Oryzias latipes: one gene and its partner. The protein of the gene in region 2 purifies or fractionates together with the protein of the main gene of each other region. This does not show direct contact. Links are inferred from orthologs where the notes say so. Each region holds a gene or a part of one and is shown on either strand. Other genes may lie near its edges.

Evidence for each region. Proteins that work in one complex are often made in the same cells at the same time.
Region 1: the proteins of probable E3 ubiquitin-protein ligase DTX3 (region 2) and rnf114 purify together in Homo sapiens (affinity purification with mass spectrometry; 3 studies listed by BioGRID and IntAct, counting the BioPlex papers as one, with this or other methods). This does not show direct contact. The link is inferred for Oryzias latipes from reciprocal best matches to the Homo sapiens genes DTX3 and RNF114.

The regions. Positions count from the first base shown.
Region 1 is NC_019865.2:15,131,523-15,136,829, reverse strand, and holds the start of rnf114 (E3 ubiquitin-protein ligase RNF114), read left to right. Parts: upstream 1-1,895; 5' UTR 1,896-1,980; coding exon 1,981-2,117; intron 2,118-2,628; coding exon 2,629-2,779; intron 2,780-2,865; coding exon 2,866-2,972; intron 2,973-5,307. UniProt on the Homo sapiens protein: E3 ubiquitin-protein ligase that promotes the ubiquitination of various substrates. In turn, participates in the regulation of many biological processes including cell cycle, apoptosis, osteoclastogenesis as well as innate or adaptive immunity.
Region 2 is NC_019865.2:11,543,820-11,549,131, reverse strand, and holds the start of probable E3 ubiquitin-protein ligase DTX3, read right to left. Parts: upstream 3,530-5,312; 5' UTR 2,946-3,529; exon of another isoform or gene 2,932-2,945; intron 2,763-2,931; 5' UTR 2,738-2,762; coding exon 2,725-2,737; intron 2,316-2,724; coding exon 1,525-2,315; intron 855-1,524; coding exon 637-854; intron 1-636. Other genes in the region: prostaglandin E synthase 3, read left to right, coding at 5,295-5,296. UniProt on the Homo sapiens protein: Regulator of Notch signaling, a signaling pathway involved in cell-cell communications that regulates a broad spectrum of cell-fate determinations.

The sequences.
Region 1 (5,307 bases), about 3.6 Mb from region 2:
AATCGGCATGGATACCGTCTTACAACCATCTCTGGTAAAAGCTCAAGACTCAATTTTACCCCAGAAGTGAAGTCAGAAGATGTTTTTTTTTTTTTTGCCTTTAGAAACAGTTAGGCTTGGATGCTGTGAATGCGGAGCTCCACGTCCCTCTTCTAGAAGACGTTCTGTTCGTTAAACGATTCTTCTGAGCCACCTCAGAGTCCTAATGAGAAATCAAAATGACAGAAATAGAAATGTCATTTAAAAACACAAGCTCAGAAAGTATTGTTACGAGAAAAGCTTCACTTTAAGTTACAAGATGTCGCAACAACCACTATATGCTCTGCATAACTAATTATTCCATTTTTTAAGGGAAGTAAAGCATCACTAATCTCAGGCAGATTAAGTATTTTGTGTGGGAAGCATTGTGTGGGTTCCTTAATTAATATTGTCAGTCACAATCGTAAACCTGCTGCATTACTGCGAAACGATGACCAATAAGGAAGGGGAAATATAATGGGTGACTGGCACTTGAGGCTGACGCTCGACACAGATAAGGCTGTCCCTTTCAGTTAACGTTTCAATTGGAAAAGGATTTATCGGGGCTGTCCACACGTTACCCTAATTATATGGCGGGACATAAAACAGGCAAACTGAACCGACAGGTGACTTATGAAAACGAGCTGCAATGTTTTCATGCCAGAGGAGAGGTCCAGGAAATTGGACGTCGTTTCCTGGTAAATAAATCGGGTGGCTGTTCCAGTTTTTTTGCCCTGGCATTGGATATCCAGTTAGCTAGCAAGCTACATCAACATGCCTTTTCACTGCGCATCAGTTAGGTCAGCATCGTTAATTAACACGGGTGATGTAAAACAACACATCCACTGTAGAACGTGTTCTAAAAGACTTTCGACATCCTAAATAAAACTGGCACTGACCCCCAAATGAGTACAAGCTAAGCAGTGAACGCCCATTTAAGCGCAGATGGCTAGTTAGCAATTGACTCTGGGCGGGCTAGCAGGGCGTTCCATTGCTACACTCACTCAGCTATTTCACGCTATATAAGAGAAATTACCCAAACAGATAAAATAACAAGCCATTTCTCTTATCAACAAACATGTTATTACGATACTGTAGGTGTTACGAGTCATAACCAACCCAGAAACACAATCAAATCGTTATCTTACCTTTTCATAAGTGCTAACCATCGCTAGTTACGCCTCCTCAGCTGTTGAAAATTCATTTTTAGCGGAGTACGCATGCGCAAAATCTTGACAGTTCATGACCACTAGGGGCCCACGTGTAAAGGGAGGGGATTCAGAGCCCACACTGACAGTCATTAGTATTAGACAAAACCAACAAACAGATGCACATAATAAACCCTATAGGTAGACCGTCAGTCATTAATCATTAGACACTGCAAACGCTAGTTTTTTTAGACGCTAATTAATTTCACCACCTAAAGTCACCCACAATAAGGAAGTGTTGATTTGGATCACAATAGTACAAAGGCCAATAGTTTGGTTTATATTTATGTTTTTAATTATGCAGATAAAATATTTACTGGTTTAATCAGAGGCCAAACGTAACAATACCAGGCTGCATTCTTCGATCACCTCACCTGCACCTAAAAAAGATGATGGATACGGACATTATTCTAAATTCCCCAATTACTGACAATGACGTTAGAAAACGAGGACGATTACATTCTCTTTTGAATTGAAAGTTATATTTTCCAGTCGCCGAATGACTGCCTTAAACTTAGTAGAACTTGGAGGTGGTTGGATTTTACAGTTATGGTGGAGAATTTCCGCCATAGACCTCAAGTTTGAGTCAACTGCTGCACTGCCAGACAGAATAAATAGAACTGCACGTAGAGCAGCCTCTGCTCATACATGCAGCGGTGGCTCCGCCCCACGCCGTAAAAAAACAACCAAAACCCAGTGACGTTGCTATGGGAAGGGTTGCTTGGAACTAATGCAGTGAAGAAAAGAAATAGAAATGGCGGTGCGCGGAGGATTTAGCGCTGCACAACAGAGAGAAACCACTGCTGACGGCAGCAACGACGTGTCAGATTTTATGTGTCCAGTTTGCCTCGAAATCTTTGAGAGACCTGTCAGAACACAATGTGGACATACGTAAGTATTTCGCCTTATTTTGACCACCCTCCCCTTACTGAGGCTCAGCACCATCGATGAAACGATACCAGTTAAAAACAATGAAGGGAAATGCTTGATCTTTTAACGCATTCTGGCATTAACAGAATGCCAACGTTAATATTCTTAGATTCGCTATGAGCTAAAATTCTGTAATGTTGTCTTTTTCTGCGTGTATATATTTGGCAAAACCTATTCTAGCCTGTTAAATCAGTTTCAGTTTTGTTTACATCAAAGAATAGGCTTTATTAGGGAAATGTAGTTCATAAATCTTTTGCAGTTACTCGAAAGACTAATGTGACGGACTACAAGTCCCTGCGCCCCCTTGAGGTGGGGATTTCCATCGAATTTACCGGAAGCTAAAGTAAAAAATAATTGTCTTTGAGAGCTGTGTGGGTATTAAATAATTCCAACTAATCAATTATATTTATGTGAGGATTTTGTTTAAATATTTGTCTTTTTATTGTTGTTATTTCTTTCTACCTCTTGGCAGATTCTGTCACAATTGTTTGCAAGAGTGTTTGCGTCCTCAAAAGCCCGTATGTGCGGTATGTAGGACTACAGTTGGGCCGTGGACCAAAGCAGTGGATCTAGAAGCCCTCATCCAGTCATCAATCTCAGCTTGTAAGGGATGTGGAGTTCAGGTATACTATGAGGCAACCGTTTGTTGTACGTAATTAACCACACAGTTTCAACTTACATTTATTAATGAATTCTTCTTTTGCACAAGATTGTTCTGTCTCAGATGAGGAGCCACACAGCTGCCTGTTTAAAATACCAGGACTATATTGAGGAAGGGGTGAGGACAAGTGTCCAAAGCCAGCCTGCTGCTGTGAGGTAAGGCACAACAAAATCAAAAACATCAGGTTGTAGTCATAAATAAGTAACAAAGGTTTTCATGTTATTTTGTTTTTACAAAGTATGTGCAGTTACAACAATGAAAGAGAAAAAATAGAAATTTTAGTTGACAAAAACCCTACAAGGATAGAATCATATAGAATCAGGTACATTGGATGCTCAAACCACTATTGGTGCACATTTTAATCATTGAATGTGGTTTTTATTTGTATGCTTTTGCACAGGTTTCACAGCCACAGTGGAATTAGTTGTCTATGAAAGGTCATTACTTATATTTACATACCTACCAATTATTTTCATTTGTACGTAGATTAACCCCTCTCCTCAAGTGTCTGTAAGTCCATAACCATCACAAGACGTTGAATGATGATTCATTGTTCACTACCATGTGTCCAGGACACAGATGCCTTCTGGGTAAATGGTTTTGTCTCCATTGTATAGAAAAGGGGGGTCAATATTTGACTGCTTTTGTTCATTTATCTAGGTGTAGAAGTGGGAGTTGAGAATAGAGCCATTGTAGGTACCATTACTATTCGCCCTGCAATAACCGTTCGGGGTCCCTTCGACTGAGGATGACGTCACACTACGGTAGCACCACGTGGACAAACTACATAGCATCCAGATCTGCTCGGGCTCTACATATTTTCATTTCACATTTCCTTTTGTTACATAAAGTTATTTTCCCTCGTAAGTTGTGTCTGACATTATCCTTTGTAATGTTTATGGAGAGATTTTGCCACAACCCACTTTGTAAAAAGATCTGTGGTTTTTAGAATGAACCTGCTGCTCCACACAAGCGAACCATGTCTCTGAGCAGAGCAGCTGGAGTCTTGTAGCTTCGTGTTTGCAGGCAGGGAAGGTGCTTTGTTAAAGTGTGCGGTCCGGAGAAGGGTTCGGAACACAGTCCGTTCGGCTGCAATGCACTTCTATGGTTGTATCGTAATTTGTCCAGACCAATCACTATCTGAAACGTCATCGGACCAATGGACAGCCAATCACATAATGTGACGTCGGCACTAGTTGAAGGACCCAGAAAGGTTATTGCAGGCCGAATGGCTGTGGTACCTACACCGTCAAAAATATTCCTGCTCTGTTGGAATGAAAATCATGTCTCCCATCCTCACAACCTGTATTTTATTCTTTAAAGTCCTAAGACCAGTCTCTAATTAGTAATCTTCTGAAAAAGCTTTTTTGGCAAAATGGTGATGAAAGCCCATCTTTAGACTTCCCTTGTCTTAGGCGTGACAGAGCAGGGTATCAGGATCATGCTATTGTCAGAGGACCTAAATGACTGTGATATAACCTGAAGAAAGTCTTGAGTCATGGGTGAACCAGTAGGGGATTTTGAATATTCTCCCAAAGCAGTTGACTATGCACCAACGTCCGATTTGGCAGAAGATGTGGAATTTTACAAGCAGAGGTCAAAACATAATGTAACAGTATAAATGGAAGCACCTGCAAAGGGCCTGCTTATAAGGTGTCTACTGCACTTTGACAGACCCAACTATTATATATCCAACATTAAAAAAAAGCTTCTTCGGAGTAAACATTCTCAAGGCCAGTAATTGTGTCTAGCAGCTTGTTTAAAGGTCAAGTTGTCCTTGATTGTTGGTTTATTGAACAACAAACAGAGGAGGATTTTGGTTTTGTTTCACACTGTTTGAGGTCTGATCATCTACCTGCGCTGGCAGAAGTGACGACCGAAAAGTGTACTATAGTTGGTACGAAGTGATGACCTTAAAGTTCCTCTCCAATAATCTTTTGATCCATTGTGAAAGCATTTCCAGTGCTCTTTTAATTACAATCATGCTATTTTTAGACTAAATCAAAAATCCTTGGTCATATTTTCTGTAGAGTGACAGGAGTTCATTGGAAGTTGTAGGTAGAACATAGTAAGCCTGCCTCCATATCCCATCTATTTACACCCCCTCCCACTAGCTTACAACTCCTCACACTCAACATAACAATAGCGGTGCAACAAAAATGACAAGCAATATCTGAGCTATCCAGCTGTACACTTTTAAGCCAGATGTCAGCTCAGACGAAAAAAGCAAAAATGTGCATGGATCTATTTATCTGCAAGTGGATGCATCGGAATGAAGCAGAGCAGGAAGCTTGTGGCCTTCCGACTGTGGGACCTACAGAACTGCTGCAGGCTTTTTCCGACAGCATTTTTTGTCTGCTTCTGATTCACCACAATTTGAATAAAGAAATACTTAGAAATGCAGTTTTAAGCGTAATTTTTTTAATATGTATCCTTCATCACAAGAAAAATGCCACAAGAACAAGAAAAACACCAATAACAAAATTTTCA
Region 2 (5,312 bases):
CAATAAAAAGGTTCTAACTACCTGAACATCAAGTGGCCCCAACATGTCTCTAACAAAGCCTTAAGAGCTCAAACTTGCCAGCCCCAAGCCTCTTGCCTTGTTGCACAACGCCGCATCAGATGGTTCGGCCATCTTCTCCGTTTTACCTCTTACCATCCGACGCGGGCCATCTTTGAGTTTAACCCAGGAGCTGCGGGCTGGAAACGACCTCGAGGCAAACCCCGTACTCGGTGGACGGATGTTATTGCAGGGGATGTTAAACCTTATGGGGTTGCTATGAAGGATACTGAGCTTCTGGCACAAGACCGGAAAGCTTGGAAGACCCTTGTTTTTTTGGTCGGCTCTACGCACTGGGAAGGGGCATCCCCCCCCCCCCCCCCCCCCCCCGCAAGAGCCTTGATTGATTGATTGATTGAACTACCTGAACAAAACTGAAAACATCATTCAACAATTCATTTTTTACTTTCCCACTCATTCTTAGGGATTCTTTTTTTCAATTCCTCTTTCACGTACCTTACTTCCACCTACCTCCCCTCTAAAAGAAAAAGTAGGACAACCCTGAACCTGCATACACACACACACATATGAATGGGATGAATACTAGCAGTGTACCTCCAAGGATAAAGTTTTACTTACCAGCGTGGTCCGCCCCATATTGAGGTCTTGTGATGGATGTCATTCCAAGTAATAACATTCTGCATGCCTGTAGTCAGAGAGGTACCGATGGTAAAGATAAGGCGCTGTTCGAAGGCCCGCCGCAGCAGGCCCAGCACACGGTTCCCCTCAGGGCTGTCAGGGAGGTAAGCGACCCGGTCTGTTCCGGGGTATCGAACACCCGGATTGGGATGCTCTATCTGTTAAGAAATTTTAAAGAAGGTCAAAGTGTTGTCTGGGCATTTTTTGGGGGGGGAAACCCCTCATACTTTTTCTAAAATTACTTCCCAACACCACAAAAAAGGGAACTACCAATTGTTTGCAAAATCACGAAGGGATCAAACTTCGGTAATTTCCCCCTTGTGGGATCAGTAAAGTTTCATTCTATTCAATTTTAACTTCAACTGAATCAGCACTCGTTTTTTGTTTTTTTTGTTTTTTTTTAAATAGACGGCAAAAGAGGTTTGGGGTAACTCCGCCTCTTACTGATTTATGTAAACTTCCAAAAAACTAACAGCACATAGCTCTTATAGAAAATTCTTATGGTACTTAATGTCACTCAGGTTTTCTTAACACAGTCAATATGAAGAAAGTGCACAGGAAGAGTTGCTAAAATGTAAGATAATTCCAGATATTATCAATTAACTTTTTTTAAGGTGGTATGAGGTAGACATGCATTCCAGGAGCAGTTAATGGCAACACTGTGGATTGAATGTTCAAGATTAGAACTTGATTTCTTTGAAAATCCTTACAAAGCCTCTGTGAAAAATACTCATTCAGATTTAAAACAAAACATAATTCTTTCTACTTGAGGGGGAATATTAAAAAGCATTTCACTGGAAGTCTGAACTGTGCTCTCATTCTACTCACTGACTGCAGGCCAGGAGGGAAGCTGTAAATGATGCAGATACACCCGTAGCCTTCATGGCCAGGAAGCTCCAGGTCAGGATCCCGCTCTACAATCATTGAACCATTGGCAGGCTGGTTCCCGACCAGTTGGCCGTACACAAGTCGACAGACAGGGCACGCTTTCTTCACCTTGAAGGCTTGGTCCAGACAAAAGCGACAGAAAGAATGGCCACATTTCTCCAGAGTGGTCTTTTCCACTATGTCCCCCATGCAGATTGAACAAGTGTTCCCATCCTCAGCCTCACTCTGGGAAGCTAAGCTGGAGCCCAGGTCCTTCCTTTGGGCTGCCTCATGGAGCATGGCAAACGCCTCCTCATCAGCAGGCTTCCTGAACCTCTGCTGCTGTCTCTGGGAGCGTCTGGGTTGCAGGGGAGGGGGCTGCAGCAGGTTCCCCTCTCCGTTCTGTTCCACCCCACATGGCAGCATGCCCCTCTTCCTCTTGGATCCCCCATCCTGTTTGCACATCTCTTTACGGGCACAGCGGCATAAGTCAATAAAAGCTTTTCGGGTGTCGCTGGAGACCGGTCCGCCCATCACTCCGGCATTCCTGAAGCCTTCAACTGGCTGGAGCCGGACAGCACAACAGCCACCCCTCTCCCCCCGCCTAATGATCCCGGCGCTCATCCCCTGCCTGTGCTGGAAGTCAATGAGCCAGGGCCGCCCAGCTGCAGCCAGGTAATCCCACACCGCCTGAGAAACGAGCACCTCATCACTGCCCTGGCCAGCACGCACACTCATCTCATCAGAGGAAACTGAAGAAAACAACAAAGTTGGAACAGTGTTAAGGCATGACAGTAAATCCATCCCATAATGCTCAGCCCTTTGTAGTCCTTGATATGCATTATGAAGGTGATGCTAGCTCCTTTTAACAGAAGAACTGAGTTCCTCCTGTCACAGAGGAAATGCTAACACCACTAGCTTTCCTCGTTTTAGCCCCTTTTCCTCTTCTTCTTCTTCTTAACCCCCCAGGTGTGATTAGAAACCCAACAGCTGACTAAATAAAGGACATTTCTGTGGCCAGCTAAGAAACGCACAGCAAACGGCTGCTAGCTGTGGAGACATTTCCTGGATGTAAACAAAAGAAAATAACCTCACAGACATCCAAGCAGTGACAGCAGCAAACAAACACACTGAAGACGTGTTTTCGAGCGCAAACGTTACCTTGTGATCCCATAAATTCTTCCTCTAATTCAAGCGTCCTGTTGAAGAAGAGGAAAGGGAAAAAAGTAAAGAAGAAGAAAAAGGAGAACACAGCTGATGTTATGTTTACACACGCAGCCTCCGCAACGACAGGAGGGGAATTTGACGATTTCGAAACATTAGCTTTGAATGGACAATAAAAGTAGGGCAGCTCCTTTTAATGATTACCTCCGACACCTCACCCGTGTTGTTGCTCGCCTGTCAGGGAGGTTTGAGGACGGATTAAAGAGCACCGCGCTCCATCCGCGGAGGCCTTCGTCTCTGACGTGCTGCTGCCTTCTGCAGTTTAATGGTGGAACATTAATCTGTCGTGGTCAAGGCATGACACCCGAGCGTGTTCCCGGTGGACGGCCGGTGTGTGTCTTTCATCAGCGCTGTGGAAAAACGCCACCCGCCGCCGCCGCCGCCTCCTTACTTCGCCCCTTCGCCTTCCTCGTGCGTCCTCGGGCTGTAGGCGTCATCCACAGTAAACACGCATTTGTAGTTTCTTATCGGGCTCGACCACTCTAGCAAAAAAAAAAGCGACTTCAAACTGTCAGATAAATACGGTTGGCGTTTTGTCATCAGTGCATTGCAGTTTGTTGGGAGAAAAGGTGAGCAGGAAGTTCGTCACTGAGTTGGTTGGCGTGCAGGTGTGAGTCACGCTTTTGACAGTTTGGAACACCAAAGTGGCACGCGGGATCCTACTCCCCATCCAGGGAAAACCCACTCGTTTGTTATTCATGATTATGTGGGAACAATTCTCATTTGATGACATCATTGGTCTTTTATGAGCTCATAAAGGTTTTAGTTTCTAATTATAGGTAATAAAGTTCAATTTAAAAAATGAAAAGACAATAAAGTTCAGTCTAAAAAAGCCTAAAACTTAGACATGCCCATTATTCCCCTTTAAATAATCATTCATTTTAATTCATATCAAGTGTGCCCTTTATTATAACATTATAAATGTTGTGTCAGCTGAACGCTGTATCTCCTGTATTTTGTAATTTGAGGAAGGATTTTTATTTTGTTATAAGCTATTACTGTAAGTGCTCATCTTCAGATTTCAGTGTCAACATAAGTAAAGCTTAAATATTTGAGTTATTTGACCTTCAATTGGGTCCTGTAATCTTATAGTTGGAGGACAGAAAAACTGCTGATGAATTTGCTGATAGATGACAGAGGATATCTCTGCAGTTCTTACCAAACATCTGCAAGGTGAGCAGGCTGGGCCTGGACTGTTTTGGCTTCTCTGAGACACCGTACCTCACCCACTGCCATGCAAACAAACATGGCTGTATGTGTAAATATGTTTCATGCCGTTTTTGTTCAAAGTCACAGAAAATATAATTCGGGAAAAAATTTAAGAAAAAGACGATTTGGGAAAAAATCTTTTAATGTTTTAATTAAATGTGGGATGTGGCCTAGTATGTGTCCCCTAAGTTGTTTAAGAAATAAAATTACGTTTGTGGTTTACTGAAGGTAAAGTTCATGTGTCAAATAAACAATTATTCTTCAACCTTTGTTTTTGTCTAATGAATATTCAAATAATGTAAACTGCTGATTTTAACATGGATAAAGTAAATTTCCTTGAACAGAACTCAAAGATGTAGTGATGCAAAAAATACAGACATCAGAGCTTTTAATCTTTATATGCATGGAGCAAATATGTTTTTATTAACTTGGAGAGATCTCCAATCTTAATGCAAAATAAGAATATATGGTGAGCATCGGTGGTCCTTTTTTTTTTTTAATCTGACATGTCCTGTCATTATTTCTCCACAAAATATCCCAGGAACTGTGATTCTTCTTTGCTTCTCAATAAATAAAAACTTTGTTCTAAATTGTCACTAAATTCCTAAAGCGCTTTTCTAGTACATATCCAGAATTCCTGAGCAACTAAAGCAGCACACCCGGTTACAATGGGAAAATCTCAAAATAAAAACTGCAACTATAAAACATTTTCACATTTCACACATCATTTTACAAATATGGTTCTCTATTTATTCCTGTAGTATTCTTGATCACTTTACATACATGTCAAATTAAAACAAAGTCAAATTTCACACAACAAATTACTAATGAAAAAATAGCATTCAAAAACATAAATCAACATGGTAAATTACAAAAACATCACGATATCAAAACTTCATACTTCCATAAATCTAAAGCAATCTAATTTTATTTATTTATTTATTTGTTTTCGATTAAAATCACATTTCAGCTGTTCAGATTGCTTGTCTTTGAATAATTATCGATTATACATTTGGCTGTAGTTATAGAATGGCACTAATGGGGGCGCTGTTCAGTTAAAAGCACTGGGAACGTTCGCATTCTAGAATCATCCACTGTACCCACGTACCAGCCAGGAGGGCGACGTGTAACGTCACAAGGAAGTGTGGAAAACACGCGATGTTTGGAGAAATACCAGCGCTTATGTGGTTAACCCTGAGTTAAGTCTCAGTTACCATTTTTGCCGGGCTTTATTAATAGTTAACACAGTAATTTATTTTGGGTTACGACGAGTGAGACCAATTACCTAAACGGTGAAAATGTAAGTTTTGATTTCA